Bombyx mori: one gene and its partner. The protein of the gene in region 2 interacts with the protein of the main gene of each other region in a pairwise test. Links are inferred from orthologs where the notes say so. Each region holds a gene or a part of one and is shown on either strand. Other genes may lie near its edges. The genes, in order: AMP-activated protein kinase beta subunit and filamin-A.

What was found.
Region 1: the proteins of filamin-A (region 2) and AMP-activated protein kinase beta subunit interact in a two-hybrid assay, tested with the Drosophila melanogaster proteins (2 studies listed by BioGRID). The link is inferred for Bombyx mori from reciprocal best matches to the Drosophila melanogaster genes jbug and alc.

The regions. Positions count from the first base shown.
Region 1 is NC_085118.1:8,961,365-8,972,112, forward strand, and holds AMP-activated protein kinase beta subunit, read right to left. Parts: upstream 5,301-10,748; coding exon 4,977-5,300; intron 4,002-4,976; coding exon 3,855-4,001; intron 3,334-3,854; coding exon 3,202-3,333; intron 2,787-3,201; coding exon 2,688-2,786; intron 2,446-2,687; coding exon 2,299-2,445; downstream 1-2,298. Other genes in the region: proton-coupled amino acid transporter 2, read left to right, coding at 10,022-10,280.
Region 2 is NC_085121.1:10,248,683-10,258,840, forward strand, and holds part of filamin-A, read right to left. Parts: intron 9,951-10,158; coding exon 9,791-9,950; intron 8,607-9,790; coding exon 8,458-8,606; intron 7,184-8,457; coding exon 7,111-7,183; intron 7,034-7,110; coding exon 6,866-7,033; intron 6,165-6,865; coding exon 5,995-6,164; intron 5,234-5,994; coding exon 5,141-5,233; intron 4,752-5,140; coding exon 4,607-4,751; intron 3,981-4,606; coding exon 3,895-3,980; intron 3,028-3,894; coding exon 2,835-3,027; intron 1,680-2,834; coding exon 1,458-1,679; intron 1,051-1,457; coding exon 887-1,050; intron 621-886; coding exon 470-620; intron 379-469; coding exon 130-378; intron 1-129.

The DNA of each region.
Region 1 (10,748 bases), on a different chromosome or scaffold from region 2:
ATAAAAATAAATGAGTCATCGAAGGCAGGTACACGGCGGCGGGGTGGTATACGAAGGGTGGTGAGACATTGTTATGTTAAGAGTCATTTGTACTTACCTGCAAATTATAGTACATTATGTCGAAGAGAAATGTGTTTTTATGCATTCGTTCTCTGAATTTCTTTAGTGAAACAATGGCAACTCCTTTGTTTTATATCAAAACGGCAGATTTATTCAAAATAATATTTGCACGTGTTGTTATCAACAATGTGTTAAAATTTTTCACTGAAATAAGAATAGATCCCGAAAAGCTAGAAAGTGTTAATTTCTGCCATTCTCGTTAACTACCTGCGGCGATATGTGGTGTAAGTGTTCGATTAGTGATTTTTTCTTTCATTTTTATCACAAACCCACAAAATGACAAAACTAAATACACTATCGATAACGCTTATCGAAAACAAGAATGCGCATCACTATGCCCGTCCATAAGGCTCGTAAGTGGAAGAGAGAGCGAAATACTCGCTTCACCGCTCCGATTTTTTTATTACCCAAACTGCACGGACAAAATAATTCTATTATAGCAACATTCTCAATCACAATACAGAGGGAAAACAATACACCCATGTCGAAATTTCGTTGAATGAACGTACCTATATCTTAGAAATAAATTAATTGTGATTCTTCTTTTCAGCTCTCCTGATTTCACCTCATTTTCTTGTTTTCTTATTTTTAGATTTGAATGTAAAAATAAAAAGCCGACGCTTAAGTTGAAAGGGGCGATTTTTTGTGGTATTGATCACTTGATTTGACGTCAATCTCTCTCGCAGATTGATTTCCTACGAGTCGTGGCTCGTAAATAAGCAATTTTTTTTTAATTGATCTTATGCCTTATATAAAATCATTTAATGTGATTTATCTTTAATACGAGAATATCAGCGAATTTCATTAACTTTATAATACAGCAGCAAATTACTCGGCATACTGACATATTGTGCAAAAAACAAAAACCTTCGGACATGAAACTGCCACGTGTTGTTCTATAAAAAGATAGAAGTTATAAAAAAAATGACGTGGGTACACGAGTCTATTTAAAAGAGATACCGGAGCCATTGAAGATACCAGTAAAAGGTGACTCAAATTTGTAAGGAGTTTGAAAAGCTTCTCTTCGTTTACCGCTAGGGGCGCTGTTCCAACTTCATACAAATTTCGAGTTAACCGAAATCGGGAAGTTAAAAAACTCGTAGGTACTAACCACACAGAACGTGAATGCGCCTTGAGACAAAATTAAAATCTGAGTTTCATAAATACGATAGTTGTCCTGTACTTTAAACGGGCACATGTGGTTGCTTGGCAGAAATAGGATGGTAGTATCCAACCGCGGGGGTTTCTCACATACCACATGCCCATCCGCTGTTTATTAAGACAAATACGCTCAAAATAGCGCAATACCGTCCCCAATAGGCATGAAAAATGAGGAAGTTTTATTTTATTACCACATTTTATTGCCTTCTCCAGACTTTTACGAAATTAATAACTAATAAACCACCGACATTAGACTTAGATGACGTAGTAATTAATTTTTTACTCTATTTGGGTATGCGAATTGAAATATTTTAGATGCCGGCTGCTCGTTAATCACAGTGACGTCGTGATTCGTTATATGAATTCTTTTGTTGTTTGATAATTACTCCTACCACTTAGTTTAAAAGGTTTTTTTCAACTTAGTTGTTCCTAAGCAGATTTATAAAATTCTTTCTTAATTGATATTTTCAATATTTTTTATTGAAAACAGCATCCCTATATTCCGGATATTACTAATACTAAGAGGTACATACATAATTATTAATACTTGACTGCATTTATCACTTTGCTCGGAACTAAGTTTTTTTTGATATTTTTTTTAAGACACTAATACCACATCATTTATCGCTTTGTCGTAAAATATGTAATACATATTAGGCAATCCATTTAACAAGAGTAGTTTAAATAATGAATATTTGTTTCAAGGATTTACACAAACAATCACTATTAAAAATGTCTGCAGTTAAAAAGCCATACACTAACAAGCTTCAAACCAATTTAAAATACCATCTTTGTTGCATAACTTTCAACAAGTTTCCTTAAGTCACAATTTTTTTTTTTTACCTAAACTACACAAATACTGACTATCTTTATATTAAATAGCATTTTTATAATTATAATAATATATTAATTGCATGTTTGCATTTCATGAAAACAAAACGATAACAACATAATTTTACAACAGGAAAGCATTAGTCCTACTTGATAAAAAACAACAAATTTGCCACTACAAAAGTATTAAATTGGCTTGTATAGAAGAGTGGTAACATATTTCTTGCGATAGCGATGTGTTGCAGACAGTACCATAACTCCATCTTTTATTGACAAAGCATACAAGTGATTTAACATCACATGATTAGGCTCCGGAAGTAGAGTCGGCTCACACTGAAAAACACAGAAAGACACTGCGTCTGAATAGGTCGATTGAATGACTCTTGACTGAACAAACTATTATTAAAAACTACTATAATTGTCAGGCACCACATCATGAATATCTTCAGAAAATCAATTATGTAGTCCATTTCTTTAAATTCACTCCATATTTTAATGAAAATTAAAAATAAAGATATTTAAAAGTGCACACTTCAACCTTTAATGTCATGTTTATAATTGAAAAATTGACTTACAGAAAGTGGAGTATCCTTGTTAAGTATAACCTGTAAGAGGTGTGGTGGCAATATTGGTGGACCAGACACTTTCTCCCATGGTTTGGACTGTGGGATTTCCTGTGAATCAGAAACAAACATAATTCCTGACATGTTAAATAACAATTATAATTTATTATAGCAATTTTATTATAAAAATTATAAAAAACCATTTTTATTATTATATAATTTTTATTATTTAACAATTTTAAAAAACAAATTTATTATAACAATTATAATTTAACAAAATAAAATTATCAGAATAAGATTAAATACATGTTTCGAGGTCTATCATTCAATTGAAAAAATTGATTAAACAGGAAAATTAAAATAGATATTATTATACAATAAGTTTTCAACAAGTAACTAACAATAAAGAGCACACTTAATCTGCATGAAAGGAAACATGAGTCATTCATTGAGGTTGTTTGCTTATTAGACACTTTAATGTTAAGGTTTATACTTTTTATATTTATGAGAATAAAAAACCTATTACCTGTGAATATTCAGTCTGAGCACTGCTGTGGATACCCTCACTGTCTTTGGCTAATGCTTGAAATACCTCAAAATCTGACATTTTTACTGTTACTAAATTATTCTTGGACCCCATTCCATTGTCAATTACTTTCTGAAATCCATGAATATCTAATAAAAATTTCAGTTATCTGATGTTTGGCCTAGAATAGCATCAACCAAGCCAAGTTGGATTAAGGGAATCACCAGAAAATGGTTATCAGTGTTATCTGATTAATATTCCAGCATACTGTGATGACTAACTGGTATTTAATTATTTGACTTACTGAATTCTGCACCTGGTCCCCATTATCGACCTTTTGAAAAATTTCTATGATTTAAAATTTTATCAATTAAATATTCGAGAAACTTTTGGTCCCTCAGATTAGAAAAATCATATTTTTTCAAGGAATACAATATAATGTATCCTTGATCATATGCTTTTTAGGGTTTTTCCTCTGCAGGTGAGTAGCATACTATTTATGTCTACATTCATGTATAAATAATTAAATAAATAAACCTTTTGATATAAATTGGGAAAGCAGAGGCTACTGCTTGCACAATTCATAGAACACAAAGTACTTAGTATAAGAATTAGTAAACTAATATCGCTGTGTTAAATATTATTGATATTACCACTGTAGGATCATGCCTCCATTCTCCATCAACAAAATATTTGTACTGATGTTCACCTTCTGGTAAATCTATTATTGTAACAAAATCACCATGTGATTTTACCATGGGAATAGTTTTCCAATCTGTAAATGTTCCAGAAATAAATACCTGCAACATAAAAACACTATACAATCATAGTAGTGAAGTATAAACCCTTCATAAAACCCAATGGTGGCCCAAGGGCCCATCACATCAAGTCTTTCGATAAACTTACATAAAGTAACACTCATAAACTACTACTTGCTCAGTTGAGGACTCTACAACTATTTCAAAATCAACTTAGCTTTACGTTTCTACTTACTTGAAAACCAAAATATTCAAAAAGTTATCTCAAAGTTTATAGAGACACTTCTTGGAATATTAGCAACATGACACTTAGCTATTCTTTGCAGTGAGCATGCAAAACTGTTTATGGAGTTGATCTGAATTAAATTTCATTCCCTCTATTCAGAAATATAATTCGGGAAGTTTTCCATTAAAGGAAAACATATCTCTCCCTGGTGATTTAGTTCACCAAGATGAAAACATGGGGAAAACATAGATCTTTGTAAAATGCCAGTGTCAACAGTCATCATGTCAGAGTAGCAATTGGCAATATTGACTTTGATGCATCTCCTACACTATACTTTTTTAAGTGTTGTCCTTTGTTTCAGCTCCAAAATATTCAAGTAACCTATTCTCTCATTTTACAAATTTCAGTATTAGATCTGCTAAAATTATAATATGCATAATTACTGGTAGTTAAACATATTGTAAGCCAAGACAGTAGTAATGTCATCCTCCCAATTCTACAAAGCATTCATTCATTCCAGTTGGAAGAGTGGGAGCTTTACAGTACAATTGAGACTTCAACTTCACCAGAAACATTAGCCGAGCCATGAGCTTGTGTACCTATCTATTAAACAAAAACAGCTATTGTGACCTTGTTCATGAGAGGATAGATGATCAAATAAAGCTTTCTTATAATGATACAACGAAGAAGCTGCGCTTTACAGGTTATTAGTCATTAACCTTATACATACATACATATTGTTTACTTTCTTTAATTAATTGTCACCACACCAGTACATATATTTTACTTACTTGTTTTCCACCTCCTTCCCATTTGAAAACTGTTGGTAATACTTTAATATCGTCGACTATTTTACTACCATCGGTGAGAGTATTTGATCTCTCACGTTGTTCAGTGTATTCAATATCACTTTCAGGTACTGCTTTAGTATAATAAGGAGCGCCATCTTCTATATTATTGTCATCATCTCGACTACTTCGATCATCGTCTAGCTTTTTATCAAACGTGAAGGCTTCCCCTTCTTTGGCTGGAGATGAAGGTCCTTGATCATGATCAGGCGATTTGTTAGCATCTTTATGCCATTCTTTGGGTTGGTTACTTCCGGCATTCCCCATTTAATTTTCAACTAAGAAAATTTTAAAAAATTGTATTTGTAATTTAATACCTAACATTCTTTAAAAAAATTACTTACATGGTTATATGTATGTAGGTTTGTTTAATTAATTATTATGTTAAACTTTGTTCAACAAATGAACAAAGCTAACAGAAGTGTGTCAAGTGTCAACACTGTCAGTATAGTTGAGTATAGTTAGTACTTTTTTTTTTCCAACTGGAAAGGTAAAAGTGTCATACCATACAGTGTAATGTTTTATTTAATTTTATTTTACTTTATTTATATATAAATAAAGTAAAATAAAAGTTTCTATGCATTTTTAAGAAAATTCACAACATTTTTTAATATAGTTTATTTACATTTAACTAAAGTATGTAGATATCATTTTGTTCGATAACTTTTTGCCATATTATAGGTAGGGACATGATCCCATTGCTATAGAAATTTTGGGGCTTCTGATCAAAATACCGCGACAATTGGTTTTGGTAATCCTCTCGTGATGCTAACCTGACACTGCTTAAGAATTCTGAAGAGACCGAAACAGGTGAAAATCTGAAGGTGCAAGCTCAGGACTATACGGCAGATGCCCAGCCAAGCTCTCTTAATTTTTGCTGAGTGGCTAAAATTGTGCGAGGTCTAGCGTTATCATGATAAAAAACCACACCCCTTCTGTTGATTAATTCCGGCCGCTTTCTCTCAACTTCTTGCTTTAATCTCATCAGTTGTTCGCAGTTGAGTTCAGAATCGATGGTCCTGCCTGGTGGTAACAGCTCATAATGTATAATGCCCTTCCAATCCCACCACACACACAGCATCACCTTGTTGCGAGTTAACCCGGGTTTCGCCAGAGTCTGTGAAGCCTGACCGGCCTTTGACCACGACCTTTTTCCCACGTTCTTGTCGTACGTGATCCACTTTTCATCACCAGTTATCAGCTTCTTCATAAATGGTTCGGTTTCATGACGTCGTAATAAAGAATCACAAATGAGTGCATTGTTCATTAGGTTTCTTTCAATGAACTCGTGAGGTACCCAAATATCGAGCTTTTTTGTGTACCCAGTTTTTTCAAATGCGCCAAAACTGTTTTGTGGTCAATTCCCAGTTCTTCAGCTACGTCATAACTACTGATATCTAACCGATCTTGCTCCACTTTTTCAAAAATGGCATCCATTTTATCCGTAATAGGGCGGCCATAGCAACGTGCATCTTTGACATCACCGGATTGAAACCGCTTAAACCAAATTTGTGCTACTCTCAAGACATTGTACTAGGTCCATAAACATCGCAAATTTTTTTCGCGGCTTGCGTTGCATTTTTACCTTTTTTGTAGGAAAATTTTCAAACGTATCGAATTTCTTCATTAGGTTCACTCACCTTGACAGTACGAAAAATAAATAAAAATCACACATTTTCCTAATTTGAATTAGAAATATCTTCTTTAAAATTTAAACTTTTAATGATACCACAACCAGCCAGATACAAATAGTATAGCCAAAGAGATTTTATTACAACTTCATACACATAATGCGAAAAGACTTTTTTCCCCAACTTATATCTTTTATATATGAAAAATGGTAATATGAAGTGAAATGAAGTTGATTAATATGAAACATGGCATGAAATGAAATGAAATGAGACGATATGGGATGAAATATAATCTCAGTATAATGATGGTCATTGACTGAGACCAAAAGATTAATCCTTGACACATTTAACTTGCTCTCAGTCGATATGCTTTTGCTACGGATCGAAAGGTATCTCATATTGTAAAATCTATCATCAGAGAGAAGAAATGTGATTTTAGGTACCCATTTAATTACCTACCTACCTTCACCTACTTACTACCTACCTTACCTACTTTGCTATCGTAACTCTATTAGAACACACGAGATCACCTGGCTGATGAAACTGGCAAAGCCTCCGGATCACCAGTAGTTTAATAGTACTTTTTTCCCTACCTATTGACTGGTAGCCTTGGCAGAAATTAACAGAATGGTGATATTTACTTGTACTTTCATAGCATGCTCTTCTACAAATATTTACTCATTAAGTTTTCTTTACTTTGAACGACTTTTATTTCAGAAGAAGAGCGAAAAAAGCGTATTATAAAAAAAATGCTCGTGGCAAGAAAATAAATGGCGAGACGGATATTTGAAAGTCCGAAGAAAGACTAAACAAGTTATTAGAATAGCCAAGCGAGAGCATATGAGTGACATCATCAAGTGTAAGAAAAGCCTAATAAGAACGAATGAGGCTCGAAAATTCTACCAAGAGGTCAGATCGGTAAAGAAAGCATACCAACCAACCATTCAATTTCTTGATGACGAAGGCGAAAATCTTGAGACTGAGAAACTCACTGAGAAAAGATTTTAATACGCATAAAGCGTACATTCGGTTTTTGTAGATTTTGCTACGGTCTATTACAGTATTGATAGACCGACTCTATATTGTGTAATCCTCACCAGCTTTGAAACCTCACGGAAGCTTGTGAGAATGTTAGAGGTTGCTACTAGAGAGAGCTCAGAAATATGACGGTGTTTGGCACGTTCGGAAAAACAAAGATGTGTAGGAACTTTTTGGTGAGTAAATTAATCTAGGGAAGATAAGGATGCAAAGGCTCAGGTGGCTCAAACATGTAGTGTGGATTGGTCCATGAAGCGGGTGTACGCGGATGTACCGGAGAGGCGCCTTCCCGTGGGGTGGCCCAAGTACCGCTGGTCTGATGCTGCGATCTTCAAGTGTCAGTCCGAGTGACGGTGCTAATTTTCGGACGCCAAGACCCACTTTGAAGGTCATAGCGCCAACGCACTAGTAGTAGTACATCTGCCAACCGTCCTGCGATGGCTCACAAGTTTTTTATATTACAAAATGGCAATGGGCTCTTGCTGTGCAGTTTATTTGCAGTTTTAAAGGGCTAAGTGTACCATTTGTGTATTGTCTACGTCACAGTTAATTTCTCACATAAATGCTTTCAATGATAAAATACTAGTAACTATTATACTGAGACCTTAGAACTTATATCTCAAGGTGGGTGGCGCATTTACGTTGTAGATGGCTATGGGCTCCGGTAACCAAGGTGGCCTGTGAGGTCGTCCAACTAAACAATAAAAATAAAATAAAAAAAAAGTGTGTGTGTCCGTTCCGACGCACGACTGGAGTTTACTGGATATAAATATAAATTTGTGTCAGTTGAATACAGTAAAATATGGAAGTTACGTATTCTAGTGAGAATGATCCGGGAGTTGCGGAACACGTGGATGCGGTAATTAAGTAAGTCTATATAATTCACTTTTACAATTAATATATAAGTTGTCCATTCACTGATAGAAGGAATTGTTTATATTTAATAAGCTTTATTAATAAATGATTTGTAGCGGGTTATATTCGGGTATCAACCCACTAACAGTTGATACGTTCAGGAATCGAACCCGAACGGCGTCCGGCCACAAGCAAAACGATGTCGGTAAATTAAACGAAACAATACGAGAAATAGTTCTATATTACGACAACACGATACACTACAGATTATTAACAAATTAACGAGACACAAAACAAACGACTAACAAATATATGAAAATACAATAATGAGAGAAACGCGCGATCAGTACGAGGCTTTGTGGCGGACTGCCGGCGCAGCAGCCCGGCGTCACCTGCGATAACGCGGCCGCGCGTTGGCTCCTGATTGGCGCGCGCACGCATCACGCAATCAGGAGCCAATCAGGCGCATAACGCATTTCGTGTGACATGCTATACTCTCTAGTACGATTTTGGTCCCCATAATTTTCATACCCCGGGCCTATATATGTAAATCGATTCTTAAGGAGTAAACTCCAAAAATCTTTATACATTCCTTCAAACTTTTACGATCCACCAAAGAAAATCAGACTCAATATTAATTAGTAAAAGTTTTTTTAACATTAAAATTATTTATTTAATTTGTTCCTTTTGTTTATTTACTGTTGTTTCGGATTAAAATGTGTAATAACTGTGGTTTATTATCAGCTTAGCATCGGTGAAAGTGCACCAATTTGAAAAAAAGAAACAAATCCCTTGGACGTACCTTCTCTGGTTCTTTACTGAGACCTTATTTCGTTACATCTCATCTAGTTTCATTTCATTTCATCCCAGTTGATTAAAGTATCAAATTAATTCAGCTCATTTCGTTTCATATCATTTTTCATTTATTAGAATCTAAGAAAAAAGACTAGACTTAAAGGTCCCGTTGCCATGCCACAAAATCTTTAAGAAAAACATTACTTACATTTGGTGTTTGGTGAGCGCTGAGCGGCTGAGCTAAGTGTATAATCTATGGGCTGAGCGCAATTATTTTCATAGGACAAGTCAGGCAAAGCAAAGCTGAGAGTGCGATCCAGTGCAATGAGTGCAATCAATGAGCTGAAATCATGAACTATAGCTCTTAAAATATAATAATAAAATTACGATTAGTTCCAACAAAAAATACTCTTATTAATATTATGCTCTCTTAGGAGAGTATTACCTATATTTTTTGGACTAATATATTGAATATAGGCCAATCTGATTCTTAATAATACAGCGTTAATTTACATATATTTTTCTCAATCTCGAGACTAATAATTTGAATAATTTTATGTTTATTAATTTCATAAAACATTGGTGTGACTACTCGTATTCAATTAAATAACATAAAAAATTAATGAAAAGTGTCTACTTCACAAAAACGTTAAAATTAAATTGAAAGCTATGAGCGATGAAAAACAGCCACTCCTAACTGGACCAAACAGTCCAGAAAATGTAATTGAAATACAATCAACCGAACCAGTGATAAATGATGATGGTCCTTCAACTGAGAAAACAAAAGGCGACTATTGCCCTGCATCAGAAAGGTGTTTAGAATATCCAACATCAAACTTTGATACAATGATTCATCTTCTTAAAGGTAATATAGGAACGGGGATACTAGCTATGCCTGACGCCTTCAAAAATGCGGGACTTATTTTTGGTAAGCAAAATTACGATTTTTTATTGCTTAGATAGGTGACGAGCTCACAGCCCACCTGGTGTTAAGTGGTTACTGGGGCCCATAGACATCCACAACGTAAATGCGCCACCCACCTTGAGATATAGTTCTAAGGTCTCAAGTAAGTTACAACGGCTACCCCACGCTTCAAACCGAAACGCATTACTGCTTCACGGCAGAAATAGGCAGGGTGGTGGTACCTACCTGTGCGGACTCACAAGAGGTCCTAGCACCAGTAAACAGTAAATAAATGTATTATTAAAACCTTAATAAATTTTTCATTAGTCTTGTGGGAGTAGACCAAAATAGTTTTACTAGTATTAGGGTGTATTATGAACCTAAACATAAAATTCCATATTGCCTATTTCTGCTATAAAGAAGTTACACCTTTTGGTTTTAAAAGTAAAGCCAAGTATACAAACCAATTAAGATTTCGGTGTCATCTCTTAG
Region 2 (10,158 bases):
AATGGCGTAACTAATTAATTATGTAATATAAACCTTTAAGCTTTGAACATTGTCAACTATTTTCTGAAAGCCGCTCTTATTATATCTATTTCGATTTATTAACATTACCCATATATTAAATATGATTACCGGTCAATATAGCTGGTCGGTGAACCACTGCATTTCCAATAGACAACACCTTTACAGCAGTGGCATCAACAGCCTCGACTTCCGCCACCGGTCCCTTTGCACTTCTGACAACATATCTACCAACACGACTCGCAGGAAACGTTAGGAGACCAGTGTCCTCGAGCTGTGCATCAGAAACACGCACTCCAGTAGGAGATATTACGTCTACGTCTGAAAGACTCTCGTCGATCTCCACTGTTGCAACTCCACCTAGAAATTCAGTATTATTGATGAGTTTTTCAACACACATTTCATCATAATCATATTGATAATCAGTAAAATCAAAAATTTCGAAACTTACCAATTTGTACATAAGTGTGTGGTTCGTTGACGCGGCAAATGAATGGACTACCAGGAACTGCTTGTTCATTGAACGTGACTGACACTCGATGAGGCTCTCGAGAAACTGGCACAAAAGTCACATCGTACAGACCACGGGCCACAGCCACTACCTGTAAATGTTGTACATTTTATTAATTTCGATCTTTTTGTGTTTGGAAAAGTAGATGTTCTCGGCTAAATAATAGCAGAAAATTCTCATATTAATGGCGTGGTTCATATTATATCCAAAATCTAAAAGATTGTCGGGGATACAATAAAAAATTTATAGGGCTCTTATAGGAACATGAATAATACCATTAGCTTAGCGGTAACGAGATATTAAATTTTTTAATATTTTCTACTTTAAATAGCAGTAAAGAATAGTTTTCATACACACCTCAGCCTTCACTGTTGTAGTGGGTGTAGATACCACCAGTTCCAGTGTTCCTTCACCCGCGCCTGCTGCATCCACACTGAATGTCACTGGCTTACCAACTTCTACACCTCTCTCTTCTTCCACACCTTCATCCAAACTCAGCCCTTCTAATGTACCCTCCAGTTCTGAAATCAAATCATTAAATTTATCAGTACCTGTCTGAACTATTTTAGTTCATCATGCTTTTTTTTAGTGTGAATCGATTGAGAGAATTTAATAAAAAATTGCTATTGTATAACACCCAAAAAAGTTTCTTGTTTCGGATCTATGCGTTCGCACGTCTTTAATCAAGGTCAATTGTTGCGTATGCAACAGATTTACAGAAATTCTTATTCATCACCTAGTAACATCGATGTTCGATAGGTCTGGGGAGTGAATGTGAAATGGCAGAGAAGCGGAAAAGGCATTCATTTTCCGTAAACCACTTAGATTTATGTGATTAGAATAAAGAATATATAGGAATTTCACGTAGAGATACAAAATATCTTAGCTCTTTTTATGGCCATTGTTCGTGTTATAAACTGGAACTCACCTCCAGGTCCAAGGCCGGTGACTCTGACGCGGCGTACATCGTACACGTTGCATGTGAAAGGAGAGCCCGGCACGTGTCGTCCCGCGCACGTCACTTGCACACTGTGTCGTCCAACAGCCTCCGGAGTGTAAGTTGCTGTATAGCGACCATCACCTAATGGCGTTACACGGGTTCGTACGTTGGTCCCACCCGGGCCGGTCACGTAAATTGTGGGCTCAGCTGCTGTTTAAAAAAAAAGGTTCCATAAAAGAAACAGCCTTAAGTTATCTGATGTTAAATGGTTACCGGAGACCATAGATGTCACAAAGCATATACCGACTTGAGGTCTATGTCACCACAATTGATTTATTTGTTAATTACAAATTTTTTCCCGGTTTCATTTTATTTTATTATACAGTTTGATTTAATTACACGACTTGATTTTATTAAAAGTGTTACAAGTCTTAACTTCACCAAAGAACCGCTAGACGAACGAGATGATGAAAATTATGAATAAATGGTATTTTACATTTTTTGAAAGTAATTTTGAAGTCATTATTTAAGACAAGCCACTGAGCTATTTTGTGAAGTTTATAATACAAAGACATTTTATAAAAAGTCGACGTGTGAATATCACTAATGTTAACGCTTAATTAAAGACACATCTGTTGTGTTTTGTTTGTCAACAATGAACTGTTTGTGTTTTTCAATAAGCAATCAATTTGTTCATGATGTCATCAATGTAAACATTAACTTTGTATTCTTTGTAATTACCGATTCGTTGGTTTTCTTCTTCTAAGTAATCGCTCTCTGTCTCTCTTGCAGACCGGATAAATCATCACAATTTAACAAAAAAAATATTGTATGGATATAATACATTTCGAGACCAGGTTGTACTTAACTTACTTAGGACAATGACTAATTAATTAGTGGTGGGCGTATTTCGAATAGGATATCGGATTGTTTAAAAAAAGCCTGCATTACTACCTTTCAAATAATTGCATAATGAATTAAATTGGTAAAAAATATAAGTATATCAATCATCATTTAGAAAACCGTGATTGTTACATACCGCCATATTAAGTTATACTTCTTTTGTCGTCATTGAATTATTAAGATAATACAACTTTCACAAAATTTATAGGTATGTATATAATTTCATTTTAATATTATATAACAATAGCCTTGAATCTTGATAAACAATCTTCACAATTAATTACGTGTTACAACTGCGCGATCGCTTTTCAATTTGCTAAAATTACACTGTGATTGGTTTTATCAAACTATCTGGTCGCTTTACCAAAAACCAGTCAATGAATTTTAATTGGGAACCTCCACCTTCATTATCATCTGAAGTCGATGAAAAAAAATTGTGCTAAACTGTCACATTGTACTCACTCTGGAAGCCGGTGAGATGTATGTCGGCAGGGTCACCGCGCGGTGCCGACACTAAGCCGGCACCGGATGCGCGCGCGTCCGGCGCCGCGGTCGGTGCGGACACGGCACACGTGAACGGCGAGCCCGGAACCGCGTGACCGTTGAACCGGACCGACAGCGTGTGCGGCGCCGCTTCTACCGGCTTGAAGTTCACCTACCAAACAAACACATCATCTATACTAATATATAAAACTACAATGGTTTTTACGGATGTTCCGCTATAACTACTGAACCATGAATGCGATTGACTTGAAACTTGGTATCCATGTAGAAAATACATGTATTTAATGGATAGGCTAATATTTATATGAGTGTTGGACTCCCTAATAATAATGACAATAAATAATAATGTTAATTTTAAATGCGCAGTGAAGCGGGCGAGTACGGCTAGTACTATAATAATATATATAGACAACCAATTCTGAGCTACCGAAAGCACATATATGCTCTGCTTGTTCTCTCGTATTACGTTATGTGTACAACGGACGAAAAGATGCTCTTTGCTTGCTGTATTAGGTCTCGATTTACCACCGATTCTATGAAGCTAATCTCTTGGTATTTATCCACGAAAACTATCCTGGATAACCCACAGTGTGCTGAATAACTTAAGATTAATTAATATGCGACGAGAGTCAACATTTCACGCTAATACAGAGAGAATATACTTTATTGCACACTAAAACACAATTAACATAAAAAACAATCAACAAACAGATTCATTTGTACAATAGGCGGTCTTATCGCTAAAAGTGATCTCTTCCAGGCAACTGTTTAATTTACAGAAATACCGGAAAAAGATAAAGATACAGCAGGTATGTTGCGGTGTACTATTAACAGTATATTATTAAAGAAAATACATAATTATGTACATACGATAAATTGTGGTGGAAAATCGGTAAATCCGAAAGACTTTGTCTTACTGAAGGTTAATGTAAAATTTAATTATAATAACCTTAGCAAAATTAATATTTATTCTTATTGGAAAGCAGTATTTTTACTTTACAAATTATGACAACTTTACCTTGAATCTCGCATTTCCTTCACTCTGCACATAATTAGGCACGTTTCGACCGTTAACGGCTACGATAATTTCTAAGTTGCCGGCACCTGTGACAGAACGAATCATAAAAAAAAGTGATCAATGCTGTTATTTTTAAAACATTGTTACAATAAGAATGTAGCGTCGTCTCTTATCTATCTATACGTGAAGCAAAAAATGTGTACCCTTTTTTATGAAAATAGCGCGGACGGAAGAGTATAAAATTTCCCAAACTTACAGAGGATATAGAGAAAGGCCGAATACTATTTTTTTTTAACTATGCATAAAAATATGTTAAATTAATAAATAAAAACATTACCCATACTACCATATATTTGTCATACACACGCGTATATTATACTCGTTTGTTTATTTTCGACCATAGACTTTATGGTCAAATTGAGAATAGATTAATATTATGTGTCTATAGCGTAGGCTTGGGAAAATCTGTGATTATAGAAGTAAAGTCTCTGACAATAGAACCATAATAATGTTAAAACTTATAATTTCAATTAGTTATAGTCGACTTTCGACTACCGGGTGACCAATAGTTGGAATTAAAAAGTTTTGTCGATTGTATTATAAGTAAAAAATTTTTTTAATTGCCTTTGTAGGCAGACGAGCATACGGCCCACCTGATGGAAAGTGGTCAGCAATGCTAGGTGCACAGCCAAGCCTAATTAAATCAGCGTACCAGCATGTGATGCGTTGATGGTGAAGGACACAGGTCTTCCGACGACACCCGGCGAGATGTCAGTGACGCTGACCCGCGCGGCGCTGTACGCCTTCACCAAGAACGGACTACCCTCCACGTGACCGCCCGAAGCGCCGGCGCGAACCTAGTCATAAAAACAGGGTCTATTTATTAATCGGGTAGAAAGCTAACACAACCAGTCTTAACTGGTTATCGGAAAACAAAGTGTTTGTTATTAATATTAATATTGAGGAAAAATGGTTGTATTTCAAGCTCGTTGGAGACGATGATGGTACGGAGCACATCACATCTTACAACCGTAATAGTAACGCCGCTGCTCATCACGCGACGTAAGTAAGGTTTGATGATGGAAACAAGGAAACAATATACGCAACTTCTGATTCTATTAAGGGCCAGACAGATTGTCATGTTAGCGCGTAGAACAAAAACCCTAACTCACAATTGATGAGCACTACGTAGCATTCCCACTAACGAATAGATACTTTGTAAAAAATCAAACTGAATTGAAAATACCTCAATACTGTGATCTCCTACATCAACAGGCACAAATGAGATGGTGTACCGTTTGCTCGCCTCGTTTTCACCTACGGTTTCTTCAGCAGATACCTGGAAGAAATATTTGATTATTAACGAGATCCAGCAACGATTTCCTATCGAAAAAGAAATGAAATGCTCCCATTGTCAAGACTACTCCCGCATCTATTAAAGGTGTACTACCAGAAACTTTTCTTGAAGTCTCAAACAGGGCAGTGGTAGCAGCCATTACAGCAGAAGCGAACAAGACCTACCTACGTGAGTTTGCAACACAATTACAAACTCTTCTGTCAGTTAGAATATATTCCTAATATTCTTGTTCTCTTATCGCAGAGACATAAGACATAACCAGACATGATCTAGACATGATCGGCACAAAATGTTGCATACTGTCACGGTTGCCTCTGCACTTGTCTGGAAAGCTCTCTGAGCGTAATGAAAAGCTCGACTTTCGTGCAGCTTCGTAAACTTATGTTTTCTTCTATCGTTGGAGAGAGACAGAGAGGTGAATAGGACATAGAAGGGCATTGTGCAGAAAGATATGAATCTTGATTTTTTTTAATACCGTATAGGCAGACGAGCATACGGCCCACATGATGGTGAGTGGTTACCGTCGCTCATGGACGTCAGCAATGAAAGGGGCAGAGCCAAGCCTACCGTTTAATACTCTCTGCAAGCCTCGTTTGAAGAAGGACATGTCCTAGCGCTCGGGAGACACTGTGGAGGGGAGCTTATTCCAAAAAAGATCTCTGGAAACGCATTGTGGATGAACGTAGTGGCTCCAGGTAGTATGGATAAACTCTACTCCGGTGGCGTGATTACTCGGAACTCACTTGCACAGTGACGGGTCTCCTGGCGGGGCCAAGCACCTCGACGTGCGGTGACGTAGGCGAGTCGACGCTGAACGTATACGCGTCACCAACCGACACCTTCTCCGGAGGCTCGCCCGATCCTGCACCGATCACGCGCGCTGGCGCCGACACGTGACACACGAATGGACTGCCTGGTATAGATAGCATACACGTTGCAGGTCAAAATCATAGCATCAGAACGCTGATATCTGTATTTACTAAAAGTTCACTTTTTTTTTTTTTTTTTTTATTGCTTAGATGGGTGGACGAGCTCACGGTCCACCTGATATTAAGTGGTTACTGGAGCCCATAGACATCTACGGCGTAAATGCGCGACTCACTTTGAGACATAAGTTCTAAAAGGTCTCAAGTATGGTTACAAGTTATTACAATCAATATGCTAAGAAGTTGGTTGCTTTTCTCAATAACTTTTTTTATAGAAACAATTTCAGCAAGCCCTTGCCTGTTGCTCGTCTGACCCATTGTATACTCTTATAAGTCAGAATAACCACAATTATCATCAGACATCGTAGGGGCGAATAGGGTGATCGAGCTAAGAGAAATATTGAGTACACCAATCACGTTTGTTGTCTTAGAACAATTTAGAAATCTTCTCTTGACGTTGGAAAACGAAAACGAATGACAGTTCTTAGGACGGAGGCACCGCTCTTCAAGATGGCTGGTTGGTAAGTGCGATGGCGTCTACGCGCCTCCATCGACTAGGCTCTCTCGTAGGACGAAGTTAGCCGAGTTCCGATGATACCGCAATCGTGCTGCCGTCTCTCGGGAATCGTGCTGCGTTTGCTGCGTACCAAACTAATGACTGTCTCTGAAATATATAAAAATATCTTACCAGGCACATGATCGCCGTTGAAACGCAGTTCAACGGTGTGAGGCCTCGGATCCCGCGGCGTGAAGCTGATGGCGTATGTGTGAGCTCCTTGCGCTGCCGCCGCAGTCGGTACCCGGCCGCCATTCACCGTCACCTCTAAATTCCCAGGACCAGCGGCCATTGTCTCCACTGATGAATAAGCAGCGTTGTATTATACTCATCGAAAATTAGCAAAAATGATTAAACAACTAGATTTTAGTACGAACCTAAAAAAGTGACAGGTTTACCGACAGTACCGTGCGCCACATCTTTGACTCTTATAGCTGATACATCGTATACCTGGAATATGAAATATTATTATTATACATATTGTTATTGTTGCTTATTCTATTTGTTCCTTAGGCATGATGATAATTTTAAATGAAATAGAACCTCTCCATGTTATAACTTAGCTTTTAAGACACACAATTTAAACTTTGAAACAAATAATCGATCGATTATACTCAAATGTATTTTTGTGGTTGCAATATGTTATATTTATTTATTTTATTTATTTAAGGATACAGAGTACAAGGGCACTACTTATTTCATGCTGAAATCTCTTTCAGTAGACCCGCAAAAGGAAATAAGAATTAGGAACACAAACCTAGTGCATACAGTAAACATTACATATAGTAATATATACATATTACAAGATACAAAACAATATATATGCATACAAATACACACACACACACACACACACATATATATATATATATAACATACACACATATACTTACTTTATATTATAATACATTATATAAATATATAAAATTTATTTAAGATGGTAAGGATAAATAATGTTCCTTAACAGATTTCTTGAACGCTGCTATGGTTTTGTACGCTCGTATGCTTGGAGGGAGGGAATTCCAAAGTATAACTGCTTGTACAGAAAACGATTTTGCGTAAGCATGTGTTTTATGAACAGGGCAATTGAGGAGAGTTTTAATGTGTGTTGTATGGTAAATGGGTAAAATGAGACTTTGGGCAAGAGAAATTTTAGTTTCCAAAGGCAAAAAATATTGGAGAAATTTGAGTGAATGGAATGCAAAGTTAACTTTGCTGCTAACATTGTTAACCTGCTCATTCCAGCTTAAGAAAGAGTTAAAGTTTTTAACAGTTTCACTAAAGACAATTGGTTGGCCATTCAATATGAGAGATCCAATTGCAGAATGATTTAATGCACGAATAGCATATCTACTACCAATTATGATGGCCTGTGTTTTGTTTTTAATTACTAGACGTTGTTTAATTACTAGAGGCGTCCGCGCATCAGTCCATTTTCGGGAGTCTTAGGAGCAGAAAATACTTCGGGAAATCATATAACTTTTTTTCCCACATTTACGGCGTATTACTTAGTGTTTTTTTCTTTTATTGCTTAAATGGGTGGACGAGCTCACAGCCCACCTGATGTTAAGTGGTGACTGGAGCCCATAGACATCTACAAGGTAAATGCGCCTCCCACCTTGAGATATAAGTTCTAATATCTCAGTATAGTTACAACGGCTGCCCTTAGTCTTATTGAAACACATGTAAAGTATTCTGAATATCGGTAATGTATATATACATACCTTTAGATGGAAGGGGCTGGCTGGAATGGGCACAGAGTCGATAAGAACGTTGAGTCTGTGTTCCCCGACGGCGCGCGGCACGAACTCTGCTCGAAAGGCGGCAGGACCCGCCGAAGACACCGCCGCCGGCACCGACGCCCCATTAGGACCTGCCCCACGTCCATAGCTCAGCTCACCGCCACGCCCTAACACCCCAACCTAAACTATTTCCCTTTAACTAAAAATTTCCTAACACCCCTTAAATCATTATCCCCGTTCCCATCGAATCCGATGTATCAGTTTCGAATAATAACTAAATATTCTAAGCTATTTATATTACCTCTGACGTCAGCGATTTCCAGAATTACCCCAGTTCGTATTTTAAATATTTAATAATAGCTCTGACGTCATTACATGATGTTAGGAGTTAGGGCGAAGCGGATGAGCTTGTTCGTAAACACTAAATGATTTGTTATGTCTTGTTATTAAGATCCTGAAAAACTTGGACCCAACATTGAAATTTATTACCATACTGCTAAACTCATTGGCCATGGACAAAATTGGACTTTATTACCATACTGCTAAACTAAAATACATATAAACCTAATTCTATATTTATATGAAATAAAAGAGAATACATATATTAGGGTTAATTAGATAAAATGTACGTGGCGTTTGTTAGTTTGCAAAGCATGAATATAATCCTAATTCTACGTTGTCTACTTCTTTTTATCGTAATTCCACTATCATGATTCTACGGTAGTTAATTTCTATTCTCTTTATTCTGTATCCAATTTTTTTATGGACCATTTTCTCATTTAAACCGCCCTGCAAATAATGAGAAACATTCACATGTAGCTACACATTTATGTTTTACCTATGCTAATTCATATGTAATGTGATATTATAATATTTATGTAATCGCATAAAATTTAAAACACGCACTGGATTCATAATTAATTATTGTAATTTGTAAATGTGATTCTTATTCAATTTTTACGAGTAGCACACTACTGACCGATGTGGCACACTTTCTTGTCGCTCTAATTAGCTCATGTTCCATCCAAACACCAATACACGCTATTGCCCAGCCTCTGGCATAGCTGAAGTCCATGGGCGACGGTAACCACTTACCATCAGGTGGATTGTATGCTCGTCTGCCTAGGAGGGCAATAAAAAATAAAAATATTTACTTTAAAACGTGAGTTTAAAGTCGCTATGATATTGGGAATGACGGTTAACATGTCCCAAAAACACGAACGCACGACGCTAGAAATATTCTTCTATTAGCATCCAGATAATACCACTGAAATTGTATTGTTGTCGAAGTTTAATATGCATTGGTGGGTGTTACCTTCCACATTGACTTCGATCTGGTCGAGCGTGGCGGTGGCGTGGTGCAGCGTGAGCGCGGCGGGGTGGTGCAGCCGTGCGGGGCCCGGGACAGACACACGGGCCGCCCCCCCTGCCCCTTCCGACACCGGCAACACTAGCGGACATCCCGGTACTCGCATCTACAGGAAAATAACGATACACTACATTAGAGTATAGTATAGATCAACGTTTCCTAAAGTGGGCGATAATGTCCCCTTGGGGGCGCTGCAGGTTTAATGGAGGAGCGGTAATAGACCCAGAAAAAATGGGGGCGTTGTGTAGAGACTTGGAAGGCGATTTGTAATTTCATCTAGGAGGACTCTTAGACACTGACTGAGCTCTCGCTAT